3 linked regions of the Drosophila melanogaster genome follow. The protein of the gene in region 1 interacts with the protein of each later gene in a pairwise test. Each region holds a gene or a part of one and is shown in the gene's direction. Other genes may lie near its edges. The genes, in order: CG15483, CG15365 and CG6287.

The links.
Region 2: the proteins of CG15483 (region 1) and CG15365 interact in a two-hybrid assay, tested with the Drosophila melanogaster proteins (one large-scale study listed by BioGRID).
Region 3: the proteins of CG15483 (region 1) and CG6287 interact in a two-hybrid assay, tested with the Drosophila melanogaster proteins (one large-scale study listed by BioGRID).

What each region holds. Positions count from the first base shown.
Region 1 is NT_033779.5:12,759,335-12,764,093, reverse strand, and holds CG15483 (uncharacterized protein), read left to right. Parts: upstream 1-2,253; 5' UTR 2,254-2,301; coding exon 2,302-2,976; intron 2,977-3,089; coding exon 3,090-3,638; 3' UTR 3,639-3,748; downstream 3,749-4,759.
Region 2 is NC_004354.4:9,064,782-9,070,408, reverse strand, and holds the start of CG15365 (uncharacterized protein), read left to right. Parts: upstream 1-2,425; 5' UTR 2,426-2,901; intron 2,902-5,627. Other genes in the region: CG10970 (uncharacterized protein), read left to right, coding at 344-655.
Region 3 is NT_033779.5:11,150,359-11,157,868, reverse strand, and holds CG6287 (uncharacterized protein), read left to right. Parts: upstream 1-2,147; 5' UTR 2,148-2,267; coding exon 2,268-2,351; intron 2,352-2,735; coding exon 2,736-2,786; intron 2,787-4,304; coding exon 4,305-4,459; intron 4,460-5,314; coding exon 5,315-5,534; intron 5,535-5,597; coding exon 5,598-5,730; intron 5,731-5,842; coding exon 5,843-6,198; 3' UTR 6,199-6,363; downstream 6,364-7,510.

The sequences.
Region 1 (4,759 bases):
GTTATATTCCTGTTGTGTATAAGTTCACTTTTCACTTTTAAAATACTTTGTCAATTTTTTTTTTTTTTTTTTTTATATTTATTTATTTAGAAGCGATGAATCAATACAATGCAATAACAGTAACATAACAGCGCAATTAAGATATAAAAGATAAAACCAAACCTCTCACTAATCATGTGAGGACTTACAATACTTTGTCAATGCTTATTATTACTTTTCCTATCATTACCGCTCTCTCTCTCTCTCTCTCTCTCTCTAATTATTTGCTTTATAACTTTTGTAATTTAATAAGATACAGCCTGGACTTTTCATATTCTGATTAACAACTAGGTAGTCCGTATTTTCAGCTGACTTTTGCTTTACGAAACTCTATACACCTGATTCCTCCTTCCTCGCCCTGCCATTTTTTCCTGACATTTTTATGTCCGACGCACAGGTAAATATGATTTCTTTGGGAAAAGCACTTTCACCTTTCTCCCGGGGCCATTGATCCGCCCGGCATCAAAAGTTGCACCCAACTTCGATGCAGTTCTCCCACACATTTTTCCTTTTCTCTATTATAAACTGATTTATTGGTTCATTTCCAGGCGCCCGGATCAAGGACTAATGCCATCTCGGTAAAAGTTGATCGGGACGGGGAGCAAAAGTACTGGTGGAGCAAAGGTAGACAAAGTAAATTAGATTTGGCACTGCCCTGCTGATGATGATGCATGAGACAAGTGAGTTAAGGTTCCAGGTGGAGCTGGAGTCTCAGCCAGGTGCAGCAAGTGGAAACAATAAGAGCAACAGACGGCTAACGTAACTTTAAGCCGATATCAAATCTTTCAATAATTAATATGGCCCACAGCCAGCCAAGCCATAAGGTAGGGTGCACATTGGCGTCGAGCTGGCTGGGCAAACAAACGCCGGCTCATAAATAAACACACACAACGTTTCAGTTGGTAAAGTTTTCCATGGCGGCGCACACACACTGCCCAAAAATCAACATCGCATGCAAATTCATAAGCTTACACCTCGCAAATACCACAGGCAATATTTTAAGCCCACTCAAAAACACTGCATTTACTTACTACTGCTTTATGTTTATGCCACCAATTTAAATGGGCCGCACTTTTCTGCTTTAAAAACAATGAATGGCCTGCAAGGCACTCATCTGCATATTATTGTAAAGCTCAATAACTAAATTCTAAATACTAAATATTTAAAAAAAATATATAAATTATTATAAAATATTGAATATTCTGCAACAATCTACATTTCGTGGCATTGGGTTTTGTTTTACAGTCCCATCATCAACTAGGTTTTTTCTCCAAGTGCTTTACTAGCAGCACACATCAGAACGTGTTCATTTCCGGCTACAGCATTTACCGTGCATATCCTGTGCCGTGTATCCTTGGCCAACTCTCCTTCGACTCGTTGCTGTTGCGTTGTGTCCTGTTGCTGTTGCTGTTGCCTTTGCCAACTGTGGCTGCCAAAGCCGTGCTCCATCGTCGATACAGAAAGCTTTCAGATTTAATTTTAATTAGGTGCTATTGAATTTATAAATTTTTCAGCTGCTGTCGCCGTCCTGCGCCCTTTGTCCTTCGTCCTCCCCCCACCCCCCTCCCATTTTGGCTGCTCCTCCACCGCACACGACGAACTTTGCCAGCCATTTGCAAAAGTTTGCAGGGGATTCCCATCGGAGAGGCCCTGCCTGTTGCCTGACACTAATAACAATAATCGCAAATTGTATTTTCATGAATTTTCAACTCGTAATTACTAATATTTCAATATACATACAAATACATAATCTATATACACAGCACCCCCATTGCGCGCCCAAATGCGAATAGAAGCCAAAACTGGGCGCATAATTAAAATTTGTTGTCCACGGCTGTTGCTGTGAAAAGGGACGTGGGTATGGTTTGGATGGATTTCGTTGCGAGTTTGGGGATTTACCTTTAACAATGAACAATGTACATTAATTTTCCGTATTAATTGTTTATTTGCGCAGCCTGCATATTAAAATGTCTGCTAATCAATAATAAACCCCATTCGCAACAGATTATTTTTCGTTTGGTGGGTTTCGTTTTCATTTGGCTGGGGAAGGGGGTGTCGAGAAGCCTTTTGGGAAAGGTTGGCTTAATTGAGTTTTAAGTGATTCTTTAAGGTTTCAATTAAATAACACTTTAGGGGTTTTCTGCAATGATAGAAAAGTATATTTGTTATGAAATCCAGTTGAATTTCAATCTATTTATCGAGGAAACATAGGTCAAGCCCGAATACAATTTGTGGAAAGCCCAAAAAGAAAATCGTAACAATATGTTTCGAATCTCTGGCCTTCTGAGTTCACTCGTAGTCCTTACTTTTGTTCTGGAAATCAGTTGCCTGGAGAATGGCACCCTGGCCAAGCTGAAAAAGTTTGTGAACTGCGAGTCTAAGGCTTACAAGTCCAGCAATGCGATCTACAAGGATTACTGGGTGCTGGAAAACTATGTAATGGCTGATCACGGCGATATTCCGTGCTATTCGAATGTGACCTACACCACCCATGCGGACTATACGTATCTGGATAATGTGGTGCCGCTCCTGGAACGCTGGCGATCGCCCCTCAGCCTGGCCATATATGCTCCTGGCACGGACTTCGAGCCCACTATACACAGCATTTTGTACCTGCTGCAGTGCCATCCTGGCCACGACCTGGTTCGCCAGCTGTGCAGCATTCATTTGTACTTCGATGTGGAGCACTTGCCCCAGGTGGTTCTGCCACCCGAAACGACTCTAAGGGAGCCAGCCAACTGTAGTGGACCACCGCCATATGAGAATGTCGTTAAAGGGAACATGTACAGGTCTCGAAACACACTGGATTATCCCGTCAATATGGGACGCAACGTTGCACGCCGGGCTTCGCTGACGCACTACGTCCTGGCCTCGGACATCGAGCTCTATCCCACGCCCGGATTGGTGCCCGACTATATGCATTTCCTTGGCCGCCAAGTAAGGTTTATTATTGCACTTTTTGGTTACGATTTGTTTGGCAATATGCCTCTACTTGTACCAATTACCCCGTTTGCTGATGTCAGTTGGCAATAACGATTTCTGAATCACAGGTGATTGGAATTCCAGGACAGCAGCCCACTTCACCGTTGGTCCATGTGCTGCGGATTTTCGAGGTAATGGCCAATGTATCTGTACCGAACACCAAGCCAGAGTTGCAAGAGATGTTGAAGTCGGGCGAAGCTGTGCCATTTCACATGGACATCTGTGAGGCATGCCATAGGGGACCCAACCTGGAGGAGTGGATAAATGCGAGCGTTGTCTCCAAGGAACTGAATGTCTTCAATGTTGGCCACCGCTCGGAAAATAACAACAATTGGGAGCCAATATTTTTGGGCACCGTCGAGGATCCTCCATACGATGAGCGATTAACGTGGGAGGGTCAACGGGACAAGATGACCCAGGCGTATGCCATGTGCGTTCTGGACTACGAGTTCCATATCCTGGACAACGCCTTCCTGGTCCATAAGCCCGGCATCAAACAGCCAGGCAATCGTAAGGAGATCTTCCCTCAAGCCCGCCGAACCAATGGGCTTATCGATAAAAAGATCTCCAGGGAGATGCGGATGATGTACGGTTCTCGGAATGGTTGTGTTATTTAGATGTAATCCTGCTATAAAAAAGTGCTATTTCAAATTCAATGTTTAGTAAAATGTGTGTGTTTACGATTTAGGGAAATACAAATTGTAATAAGTATAGCTTAAGCTAGTTTAATTTACTTTACTTTAATTGTTTCATATAAATCTGCAACTATGAGTAACTTATATGTGTGTGTTTTATATTTAAAGTCATATCTAAGCTCGAACTTTCATTGCTTTTTTTTTAAAAGGGCACTTAAAATTCGCCATCGGTTTTCCGCTTCCGTCAATGTTTGCTTAACTTTTTCTACTGTGCAGTTAACAAAAAAAAATCAACAATCAACTGCAAACGCAACAGCATCAATAGTATAAAATATGAACTGCAAACCTAAATAAATATTTATTATTTGCTGCATTCTACTGCTTGTGTGTGTGTGTGTGCGTTTTATATGCCAGTGAAATTTTTAGCTTAATTGAATATCAATTCGTTTTAAAATGCGCACCATCAAATGGGGGAGTGCGGCGGCAGTTGAAAGAAATCGAATCGGGATTTTTAGAGGCTGATTGGAGAGGAGACCGAAGGGATATGGAATATTTATAGCGCAAATTATTAGCATACAAAATGCAATTGATGCCCTCCAGTGATTAATTAAAATGTTTCCGAGCGCATATAAATTCATATTGTTTATTGCGGTTCATGCACAGACACAATGCACTCGTGTAAGTGCCAACTGCGAGGTCATGCGCCATTTTTGTGGTTCACAGCACTTTGCGTATGACCCAAGTGCCGCGTACCCATCCTGGTCACCTGGCCGGAATCCGCACGCTTTAAGGACCAGCTGTGGTTTAATAACATCGACTCAAGAGCCTAAACTGCAACTAGAAAGCTGCTTGAGTATCTCTAAATTAAACATATTCAATTGAAGGGTAATTGTATAAAATTTGTAAAAATTTGAAAATAATGCATTTAACATCCTCTATTCTCTATAGTTCTTGTTACGAAAGCCTATAAATGGAGACCTGCGGCCTGTTGGGAACCTTATAAAGCCGAAAATATCCTACAACCAACCGCTGGCCAAACATAAATATGCACAAACCATAAAAAACTGACCAGAACTGACCCGTCACAATGACATGGCAACTTG
Region 2 (5,627 bases), on another chromosome or scaffold:
ATGTTTCTCTCTATCCCCTTTTTTGTTTTTATGTTGCTATTTACACATTTTTTTCTTTTGTTGTTTAACTAAAAACTTGCGCTAAGTTTACAAGAGGGTTTGTTTGTTTTGTTTTGTTTTTTGCTGGAAATGTAACCTGCTGCCGCTGATTTCTTGTGGCGATTATGGATACACGATAATTGGAGGCAATTACGATCGGATCTGGAGGTTCAAAGTCAGGGTCACAGAGCGCCGAGACTTTGCCATCAAGTCAATCGAGTGGTTGTGTGACCTTCGAAACTACATATTGTACACCCTGTTTTTTTTTTTTTTTTTTTTTTTGGCAAATTCAATCTTACTCGAGATGGCAGGCCAAAAGGAGGAGATCTTGTGCTGTGACTTTGAGGTGCGTGGCAGGGTGCCCAAGGATGCTTTCGAGCTGTTTGCACTGGTCCAGGCCAATGCACTGGGACTGCGGGGATTCATTGCCCAGGTGTCGGAGGAGAAGTTCAAGGGTCGTCTGGAGGGCGAGGGCAAGGTGATCGATGCCTTTAAGAAGCTCATCCTGGCCGCCGCCGATTACGTGCAGGCCATCAAGGAGTTCATTATTAAGAATCTGAAAGTCATCCAGGAATACACCTACAAGACCTTCGAAATCAAGGTGAACCTAAAGTGATTAAAGGATCAAACAAAATAAAATATTTCCAATGCATAATTTTGTTTAAAACGGCTATCAAAAGTTTTATCCATTATGATTTGTCTAATATTTTTGTTGTATGGATATAACAAGGTATTTTCCAAATAAAAATTACACAGTTATATAATCACAAATTCAAAAGAGTTTCCTAAAGAGCTGATTTATACAACAAGCAATTTCCCAAAGAGAAGAACCTGTATGAAAATGCCAAACTTTTCATGGGCTCATTGTGGATTGAATGATTATTGTTGCGATTGCTGGATCTGGGCAATTCTCCAAATGACCCATGGATTCTCACTTACGAGTACTCCATCGTTGGTTCTAGGACCCATTGCGATCGTGACGAATGAGCTAATGATGTCCATGATCCGTGGGAGGGGATAACCTTGTGGCCATCGCCGCCGGCGATCGGATATCAAATCGAATCGCATGCCTCGGATGCATATACTCGTAGTAAGCTAGCGATGTTCCCGGCTGTTTGGCATGCAAATCGAAGAATCTGATCGCCACCTCGATCGACACGATGAAGGTGTACCACTGGACAACAGCGAACATATAGCCACGGATGGTTATTTATGCGTTCGCGGATACAACTGCCGATTCACTGAGTTCCAGACTTCTCAACCAAATAGCACTGGTTAACAGGCCAGTGAGAAGTGGTAGATTTGAAGTTTAGTTTTTCTATATTAAGAAGATCATCTTAGTCGGCTAAGCACAAAACGTTACCATCTCAACACTGCACATCGGGGGGAATTATCAAAGTGTTCTTTTGTAGGCCAGTGTCGTGTATCTGCAGTGATATATGGACAGCTAAACTATCTTGGCTCAAGCAACGTTACAATTTTATGGGTCAATTTGCGGACGGCCATTACTAGAATTTGTGTGTGTGTGTGTGTGTGCAACAGGTAGCCAAGTGTGTTTTACACAGAGGAAATTAAAAAATCCTTGGTATAAAAATCCTTCCTCCTGAGAAATCTTAAGGTTCAAATATATTCCAGTGAAGAAACTAACCAAATATTAAATACTATTAAATTTTAAATACTATACTATTAAATATCAAATACTATTAAATATTTTAAAGAATTATCTGTAAGTAATACAATTTTCTCGCTGTGTATCTATGAATGTAAGCAATGAACCTATATGCGAAAAGCCACAAAATTGAGGGAAATTAACCTAGGCGGCGACTGCGACTTGGACTAATGCGGTTGCCGCGAACATATATGTTTATACATATGTTTGAATCCCAAGTCTGGATCCGAATCGGTATCCAAAATCAGAATTAGCCGCTTAATTGCAGCGCTGTGGCAACGCCAGCAAACCGGAAAGAACGGCGACAATGATTGCCAATCCGATTCGCAAGCAATCAGTGCTGACTGTACGTCATAACACCAATAGAAGCATAATTAGTATAATTATAAGTTATAAAAAGTAAAGAGTATGAGAAACAGCTACTACATTTAGTACACAATACATTGATCTTTTGGAAAATATGCTTATGAAAGTGATTGAATCCTTAGCCAACAAGTTAAATAACTGCATGAATCTCTAAAGTACAAGTTATATTCTTCAATTTTCAAGTAATTCGTACACATAAACGTTTGCAATCGAATGAGAATGTCATTTCGAAGATGACTCTTTTTTTTATAAGCTTTTGAAAAAAGCTAAGCTCTCATCTCTGATCGCCGGCGCGCCGCAGTCGCGTCGCAGTCGCCGTTCGCTGCTTCCAATTCCGACGCTCTGCAGCTCAGTTTGCTTTGAGCGCTGGAACGCGAAAGTCGTCGACGGAGGGCCAACGTTGCGGATGAAAGTTTCGAAGCGAACTGGGAAGATTTTTGAAAAGCGCAGGCGTGCAACGGTTTTTTTTTTTTAGTTTTTCTTTTTTTTTTTTGGGGGGGTTTGGGCTACGCTTCGCGGCGAGCGGTGAATGGCAGCCTTTTTTTCGAGTGTGGTGGCTGAGTGCAATTCAAAACGCATTTCGTGCATAATTTGTGGAATTTTACGCGTTGTAAAATCAATTTCATTGTGCAAATTTGAAAACTTGCCTGCTTTCCGTTGGCTTTCAGCGGCAACAGCTGAAATATAATGCAGCCACATCAAGCGGGCAAGCAATAAACAAATATCAAAAAAAAAAAAAAAACCAAGAAAATTTACAAAATATAAAAACACACACATTTGAAGAGTCAACAACAGCGATTACAAGGCACTAAAAACCAAAGGAAGAGGTGAGCAAATATTTCCATTCATTTGTTATTCTTTCGTTGGGCTTAAAATATTTTCGTATTTTTTTTTTCTTGTTGCTGTCTGATTTTTCGTTTATTTTGGTTTCGCTGATTTTTTTAATTCGAATGGAGTACACAGAAAATAATAGAATATGTTGAAAATTGTAAGATTTAAACATAATAATATATTTATTATGTGGCATTTGAAATTGAAAACGTGCTAAAATCAATTTGAATTCGACCTGCCTAGCTTGATTAGAACAAAGTAGTACATGCTCTTTTCGCACAGTGTGCCTATCCCAGCTGGCTCACACACACACAGGCACACGCACAACCTCTTTAAAGTTGTCGCTGTTGTTGTTGTCCTCATTTATCTGGACTCAAAGAGCTGAAGTTCGGAGTCGCGGACTCAAAAACTCTGAGCCGTCGTCTTCGATTATTGAGCCGTTTGACTTTTTCCCAACTGCCAGCGAACCTGTTGGCCCCACAGGCAAAAAACAAAAACTACAGCGAAAATATATACGAAACTGGTGAAAAAAGTAGATATATATACATATATATATATATATATATGAAAAAAAAAGATGAAAAAGATGCTCTGGTCAGCCTCTAGAAATAAGCAAGTATCTGTCTTTGAGCTCTTTTCTCTTCTCAATCTTTTGCTTTTTTGCTTTTTTTTTACACTCGTAAAGCCCATAAAGTGCCGCATATACTTGACCTATCCGAAACTGCGGGTTCTACCCGGGGGGAATGGATAATGGATAATGGATAATGGATAATGGATAATGGTCGCCGAAGTGGCCGAGTTGCTTACTGGGTTGGGTTGGCCAGTTGCACTTGGCCTTAAATCGCTTTATTTTACCTGGAAAATCTCTAATTCGTTCCGACGGAATTCAGCGATTTTATGTTGAAATGTCAAGTGCAGAAAAATAAAGTGGTTCTAATAAATATGCAAGTGAAATACATAGATCACTAACAATCCCCTAGATACCTCTTAAAAAACGATCTTTATTTTAAATATACTCATATATAAAGTTTATGAATATCCTTAGTGAATGCAGTAAACAGAAGGCAATATAATATGTTTTTGTAAGTGAAATACTACTTATTTAGAATAATATTCTATAATATATTTGACAAAGACCTGATTTTTTGTTCACTGTGCAATCTGCTTTTGGGTTGAGAGCAATTTTCGTTTGGATTTGGCCCCTCCTCGAGGCCCCTTTAAAAATTATTATTATTACTCTGCCGCATCATTATCGCCGCGCTTGAAATCTAATTTCTGCCCCGGCCACAATTTGCCACACGATTTTGTTTAGTTGTGTTATGTTTTGTCTTATTTCATTTTCTTTGTTGCGAGCCCCAAAGGAATTGAAAGTGCGCGCGCATGCGCAATTAAGGCCAAGTGCGCGCAAAAAAATATATATACGAGTAAATTCACAAAAAAACACACAAACGTCAACTGGCAGGAAAAAATGAAAAACAAAAAAAAAAAAAAAAACAAGAAATGAAAAAAAAAATAACATAAAAACAGGGGATCGTCGGCGGAGGAGGCTGAAGGCTAAAGAGCAGAAATTCACTTTTTAGTTTCGTGAAAAAAAAAACACACAACAGAACCCAGAAGAGAGTACCACATACCCCCCATCCAAATAAAAGGAAAGAAAAAAGCCAGTTGGTGAAAATCCAGCGCATACAGGTTATAAAGATTTATGATCACTTTTGATACCGTCCGCCGTCCACTCGGCCTTCCAATGTAGGTGAAGCTCAAGTGAAAGAAGATAACGTGGCTTAGTGCAGATGAAGCTGGCTCGGAGCGACTGGGCCACGAATGTGGCCACAACGCCATATAGCCATATAGCCAGCCAGCTATGCCCACTTAGATTCAGGTCATCAACGCCGGCGGGCCATTGAGAAAATCGCGATTTCTTCGAGGAAATCCAACTGAACAAGAGCATCGATAAATGTATTAATTAATAAGAGTAATGGCAAAACAGTTTAGATTTAATTAAATTGAAGTACAACCTTAGTTTTGGTTAACAGGATAACTACAAACAATATTATTTGGCAAATAATTAAAAGTGTCTCATTAAGGCCTCAATCAACACTTCAGTTTATTGACAATGATTGATGGGCCGAATTGCTTGAGGAATGGGGTCAAAACTATTGATTTAACAACATATTCGTTACATTCATGTTATTTGCTTTTTGGTATAAGTATATATTTTTTTTGTAATTATGTATGCGCAATTAGGTAATATATGTCATAAAGCATAGATAAATGAACCTAACCTTTATTCGAATGAAATATTTTACACCCTCGTTATACAAATATCTATTACTCATAATAAAGGTCACGCTCCTGTTGTTTTATTGCCCGCACAATCTGCTTTTTATATAGCCCCATTTTACACATAGTTATCCATCGTGATTCATTTGATTGAATCGTGTTGCAATCATTATGCATTCAAACAAATAGTTTCCACTTTGTATGCAATAGTTAGCCAATAGATCACTTAATGGCTTCTTAATTGGCAGTTAACGCGAAATTGGCAGCAAAAGTAGATGTGCAAGTGTGTTTTTTTTTTAGATTCAATTCTATCTTGTTCTATCAAAAACTCAAGCAATTTGGAGTTTATTCACATAAATTCACTGAGTGAACTGCGTACTTCATTTGAATATAAAGCGTGTGTTCAGTTTTTTGCTTCACTCATTAGCTGAAATATAAATTA
Region 3 (7,510 bases), 1.6 Mb from region 1:
GCTAGTTTTGATCTGTAAGCACACCCACAGAACCCATCCTACTGTCCAAGGACAACAGCTGAATCCTGTAACACGGGGTCAGAGTTTAGTGACAGGTCGGGCAATTTGCCCGCAGAAAAAATCTAGTACTTTTTTATATAAGAGATACAAGGTGATATAACTAATTTTCAGAAAGTAAATTTGAACAGCGCACGACAAATACAGATACCTAATTGAAATTGTTAGCCACATTCAGGAGAGGGAGGGTTTAAAAGGTCAGATGGGAGAACACCTCCCATCCCCTAGAGAATTTGAATGGGGTTGACCAAGGCACTGGAGGCGCTTTAACGAGGAACAAATTGAAATTTAAATATATAACGGAACGCAGCAAACGATACACAAGCACTTCTTGTAAAAAGTGGCAAAGCAAAATGATCTATGTATTAGCTAAACCTAAATGAAATATTACTTTTTAATACTAGCATAAAGTTAAAAACAAAACTAGATACGATCCTTTGCAGCTAAGAAGGGGACAAGCGGAAAACTTAAGTTTAAATGGTCAGTTGATGAGAAGTGTGTATGTTAGAATATTGCACATAATTCACAGAACTGGTAATTCAATATATTATAATGGTATATATTAAAAAAGATACACACATTTATAGAGCTGCATATATAAATATGTATGTATGTTCTTGCCATAATTAACAAAATTTAAACCGATAAAGATACATCAGCCGGCATTTTGTAAGCGTGAAATCCAAAAACTAATTAAAATAATATTGATTAAAAAATAACTGATTATCCCAGATATTGTTAGATACTTTCTGGTAACGGAAAGGTGAACTTTGCCATGAAAATTTCATCAGATCTGATAGGAATATGTTGAAGATATTTTGTAAGATGCCTTAAATTTCTCAACTCAAGTTCTTTGAAAGTTTTCGAAAACTAAACTTGATAAATTCATATATTCCATTACATAACCTTCTAGCAGACGGACAGAGGTCTGCAAAGAAGTAAAACTGGTTTGCTTCAAAAGTATAGCAATTTTTTTGTAATAATAAACTCTTATTTCCGATTATAATAAAACAAATGAAAACCAAACCAAGCAATTTCGATTTGTTGACACTCTTGAAAACTATAAAAAAAAAACACAAACATACAAACAAGTTTTATAGCAAGCATACTGAAACTTTAAAGATACGCCTATATATAATTAAATTTAGCGGTAATAACTTCTCTACTTTTCAAAGCCACTTAAATAAGAAAAGCAAACCTTATTTTTTTAGCCTAAATAACTTATTGAACTGGAATAGAAGGTGGAAAATTTGACAAGAGCACGCATGAAATTTCCGTAATCAATATATTATTAACCAAAGATCCCCACACCGAATACCCTGGAAAGATAAAAATGAACTATTGGTGGAAATATCAACACCGCTCCCAATTTATATAGAATATTTTATACATACAAAACATATACATATTGTAAAAAATGAGAAAAACGGTAACTAAAATCCAATCAGCAATTTTCAAAAATTGTATGTAAATAGTTAATGATATTTCAATTTGTTACCTAATTATTTTGTTAACAACTTTGTAAGATTCCTTTAATTTAATGTTAAGGATGAATACCTGCCATCACCTTGACGACATTTTGTTGTTTTCGTTTTCATTTTCCGCATTCAAATGTTGTTCACAATATGTTTTTGGAAAATACGTAGTTAAATGAAAGCTAAATTGCAAATAAAAGCAAATACAATAAAAATATTAAAAATAAATGCAGTCTTATCTATTCGGCGTGAGTTTGATTATATGGGTAAGTACTTTTTTTTGAACCCTATTAGAAAGTAAATAAATGCATAATACAATTAAAGTTAGAAAGCTTGCCATATTTTTTTACAAAAGCTGAAATTTTTAAATCATTTTTAATCACAGGGTCGTCCGTGGGTTAAAATTGTTGTTTTGCGTGCAAAAATCGAAAACAACTCACACACGCACACTCAAGAAGAACAAATCGCGCGAGAAGAAGGAGAGAACTTTAAGATCCAAGTGGCGCTCTCCGATCCTCTCAGTGGTTTGGTTATCACCCAGAAAAAACAACAATCGCACTGCACCGGCGAGAGGCATTCGAAGTCAGGTTCGATGGCCCGAGAAACCCACTCTCGAAGTCAGTTCAATTTGTTTGCTCGGCGGCGCAGATCGTGAGTTGCGGAAAGTAATTGGCAAAAATTAACGCAATCTACCGGTTGTCCAGATTTTTCAGTGTATTCATTACCCACCCAAATATGCCCCTCAATATAAGAAAAGTGCTGGTCTGCGATGCTGTGGACAAATCCTGCGTGGAGCTGCTGGAACAGCATGGGATTAAGGTAAGGTTCGCCAATCCCCTGACGTGACAGTCGATTATTTGTTGGAGTAAGCAAAAGCTTACACCCATACAAGTGCTCAAAAGTACAGTGCGCCCTCGGATAAAAATACAAATAATTAAACTAAGTATAACCACACAAAAAATGTTTTTTCGACGAAAACTAACACTAAAAAGATATTAAATATTTGAAAGTCTATGCCTACAATGCAATTCATTTAAATTAAGCTATTCGATTGCTTTTACTTATCGAGTACACACTGTATGTGAATTTGCAAGCATGTAAAAGCGCTTAGAAGTGGACAAATAGAAAATAAGTGCATTTAATTTATTGCACAATTTAATCAACGTTGTTGACCATATATTTTCCTTCTTTTTTTTTGACAAGGTTACCTACAAACTAAAGCTCCCCGTGGAGGAACTGTGTCAGGAAGTTAAGGTAAGTGGCTTAGGGATTTCAGTACAGGTAAATAAGTAAATACATACACACGTTCAGATGTATATGAACGAGTTAAGTCGCTGGGATGAAAGCTTTGCGAATGATTCAAGTGTGGTTAAAAACATGTGCAACGCTCTGAGATATGGGTGCATTGTATATGTGTGTGTACATATATGATAGTACGCGTGGGCGTTACATAATAATAACATTTCAATTAGTCTGTAACTAAGCAATCTAAGCACATCAAACCGAAAGTATATTTCAAAACTACTGCAGTATGGAGATTGTATTTAACAAAATTAAAACTAATGATAAGGAATTGACCCCTTTTTTTAACATTATCATCTTTGTTATGGAATATAGAATGTTTTTACAAATCTTATTTTCCTTGTCTCCAAACTTTAAGCCTTATTGGGTTAATGGCTAAGAGAATATTTTCACCGCAGTTATAAAGATAAAATAAACAAAAACTAGAAAAAAACATTTTGTGGCTTCTTCAAATCAAAATCAATTACTCTCATAATTTATTTAAATTTGTTTTCTCTTGCACGAAAACAGCTTTAAATTTTGACAAGCATGTTTGTCTCAATTAGTTAAACCGCTTCATGTCTGTATGGGCACGAATGCATGTTTTGAATTTTATTTGATTTAGAGACGGATACTTTTAATTGGTGATTTTATTGAATAACATAAAAGCAAATTGCAAGGGTCAGAAAATAAGTACTTGACAACAAATTTTTTTTCACGTTCGCAGAGAGAAAAAGAATTTAGTCTGAACCAAATGGTTTTTATACCCGTTAGATTCTTTGAAATTTATGTAACAGGTAGCAGGAAAGCATATAAAGTATTATATATATATTATTGATTAGATTCATTGGCCAAGTCGGTATGTCCGTCCTTCTGTCCGCCCGTCTGAACGCAAACTACCACGCCCACAATTTTGACAATTTCTATCGATATACCAAAGAATTTTTGTAATTTCGCTCGTTCGCACTCCCACAAACCAAATAACGGGTATCTGCTAGTCGAGTATCTCGACTATATTATTCTCTATTGTTCATTTTAAACTGCCCAGCATTTTAAACCACTTTTCGAAATGCACTTTCAGATTTTATTCTACAAAATAAAAAAAACTATTCCTTTTAAATGGCAATAATCTGCTGTGAACAATTGGGCCAGACATTGTTATCACCATTTATTACTATCGGTCCAATAGTTCTTATCAATCAAACGGCCGATCAGACGATGTTGCCTCAACATTAAATAAATTGTTTCCAGTAGGATCACAAATTGCCGGAAAATATCAAGAGGTTCAATAATCTTAGCCAGAAACATACATACGCCAGACGAATTGCTTTTATTTATGATAAAGTACAGGTGTTAGGTGGTATCAATCACGTTTCCAGAAGAAAGCAGTAATCGATGCCATCCAGATGGCCAGGGAAATGAGTTAGGCAATTAGATGACAAATATTTATATTTACCCAGTTGCTAATTATTAAATTACACCGCATTTCAGAATTTCGACGCAGCCATCGTTCGTTCGGATACCAAAATAACCGCGGAAGTTTTGGCCGCCGGATCCGGCAGCCTGAAGGTCGTTGGCCGTGCGGGGGCGGGTGTTGACAACATCGATGTTCCCGCAGCCACAGCGCAAAATGTCGTTGTCCTGAAGTAAGTGCTCCGTAAGCCTCCGGTGCATTGCAGGGCGGGAAAAGAGTAGCCACGAACACTATGCCACAAGACCAACTTGTATTTGTAGCTGAAAGTCTGATATAGAAAGTACAAACAGTACAAAGTACTTATTTATGGTTAATTAGAGCTCTTGCCATGCAATATATTTCATGGATATTTTACCATTCTGTTTATAGTTCAAGTTGGTAAACAATTCAATCCATTTTCGGCTCCGATTTCATTTATTTGCATTTTTAAACAGTTTCTAATTTATGGAACGAAAATATTAATTAGTTGTTCTCGGAAATGAATTTATGTAGCCCTTTATGGCAGATTTATCAATTGCGAGGAAATATTACTGTTCAGTAAAATTGTGGTAATCTCAATAATGATCATAAACATGGGTATTCAAACTAGCAGTGTTTTATGGTATGCAGCGTAGTGTAATCTCCGATGGCGCAGCTCACAAATAATTATGCGCATTCCGAATCGCAGGATTGGCAGTTGATATGCCATCCCAGCCCAGAATACCCATGACTTGGGTCAATTGACGCCGTTTGACACGCATAATTAAGGGACGACGAGTGTCGATGGAGTTGCGTGGGTGTTTGGGTGGCTATGGGTTGTGGGTGGTGGGTGCTGGGTTGGCCACATCCATGTCAGATGTCCTGGAAAGCTGGAAAATTGCCATATTTCCCACCTCCCATTCAATTCTTTTTTGGCGGAATTTGCATAATGCTGTCTAGTCACAACAAACGCCACCCATTTGCCCACCAGAAACGCTCAACTTAGCGCAACAGCTAGTGTCTAGCGAGGCATTTAGGGAATGTTTAACTAAACTCTCGTCGCTTTCAGCACTCCGGGTGGCAATTCCATTTCGGCCTGTGAGCTGACGTGCATCCTAATTGGCTCCCTGGCCCGTCCCGTCGTCCCCGCCGGTCAGAGCATGAAGGAGGGTCGCTGGGACAGGAAGCTCTATGCCGGCACAGAGCTGTATGGAAAAACCCTGGCCGTTCTCGGATTGGGACGCATTGGACGCGAGGTCGCCATTCGGATGAAGACCTGGGGCATGCGGGTGTGTTTTGAATGGGGTATTTACTTATTTTGGAATTTTAATCGAACTCTGAGTGCTTTGCAGATTATTGGTTACGATCCCATCACCACGGAGGCTGAGGCCAAGGCGGCGGGCATCGAGAAGATGACGCTGGAGGAGATTTGGCCACTGGCGGACTACATAACCGTGCACACGCCGCTGATCCCAGCCACCAGAAGTAAGTCGCGCATTGATAGAATATTTATAAGAGATTAAGAGATTAACATTTAACAGCAGTATGCATAAAATTCAAGCTAAACTATATAGATTTCTTTGCTGAATCCCATCAGATCTCATATCGGCGGAGACACTGGCCAAGTGCAAACAGGGCGTTAAGGTGGTGAATGTGGCCCGGGGCGGCATCATCGACGAGCAGGCCGTGCTCGATGGCCTTGAGAGCGGAAAAGTGGCCGGCGCGGCCTTCGACGTTTATCCCGAGGAGCCGCCAAAGTCTGCGGTCACCAAGGCCCTCATCAGTCATCCCAAGGTGGTGGCCACGCCGCATCTGGGCGCGAGCACTTCGGAGGCGCAGGTCCGTGTTGCCGTGGAGGTGGCGGAGCAGTTCATCGCCCTCAATGGAACCTCGCCGAAGTACACCAGTTATGCGGGCGTTATTAACAAGGAGGCACTCGCCCATTACCAGTGAAGCAAATCGAATATTCACAACCATCAGCACATTCTAAATTCGATATTCAGCATTTATAAATAAATAAGTTTACAACCAGGGATGTAAACAACGTAAAAACCAAAATACACAAGTAAAAATAAAAAGAAGAAGAGTTTTCTTAAAATACTCTCAGATCTAAATATTTATATATGTATATTATTATTCCTAGAAAGTTACCATTTCAAGGTATCGAAATGCTACAAGGACTTAGACGAAAGCTGACTTGTTTTCCGAATTTCGTACTACCGTTTTGTATTTTGATAAAAAAAAATCAAGGCTTTTACCAGAAAGCAAGTTTAATGTTGATTTTACATATAGCCATTCAAGGAAAAGCGGAGTTTCAGTGAACTTTCCTGCCAACTTTTGTGTGTCATAATCTTCAGCATGTGCGAATACGTTCAACTGAACCAACATTGCCAGGTGAAAGTTCATTTATGGCAAAGGCACCACTTGATATTCTTAAACAATTTAACAAATTTAAAAGAGACCAGTAGTATGATACTTATTCTGATTCAATTGCAGCAGCTTAATGGAAAAGCGCTCCATTTAAAGAAGAAATTCATAAATTCTGCAACAGAATCACACAATGGGAGCTCATATAATGGACAAAAATGTATATGGAACTGTGAATTCTTTTTCCCTGGAAATGAGGAAGATATTGGCAAATAGCAATAAAAGAATATTTCCTGGCTGAAAATGGTTTACTTATTGAATAGCTGTAGCAATTTATGACAAATATACGTGATTTATGTGGTGAAAATAGCTTTGGAAAATGAAAACGAGACAAAATGGTTGTGAAATGAAATATTAAGTGATGTTAAATGTATTAAATCAATTGCGGAAGTGCAAGACCCATTTTCGCTTGTCCTGTCTTCATTCCAATGCAAAAGGAACTTATTCTGTCAATGCATAATTTACGACACAGGAAGTGCCAATTCCGTATTATTGTATGCAAACGTGAAGTTTCACAAGATGATATGAATTGTCATGGCTTCTCTGGACAACTCATAAAAGGAGTAACGTGCCATTGGAAACTAGGAGAAGTTAAAATTAAATTTTCATTTCAATCAGCTTATATGTCGGCTTAACTGGAATCAAATTGTGAGTCGGCATTGAAATTGAACTTGGACCTTTGGAACACGCAAAAAACAAATAGAAGGTGAATATTCAAATACAATGTGAATGGGTGTATGGTTACACTTCGATATGCCTAAGTACAATTACACTTGAAGAAATATGTGATACACATATATGAAGAAAAACTTTTAAAAACTAAAATTTATGTGTAATA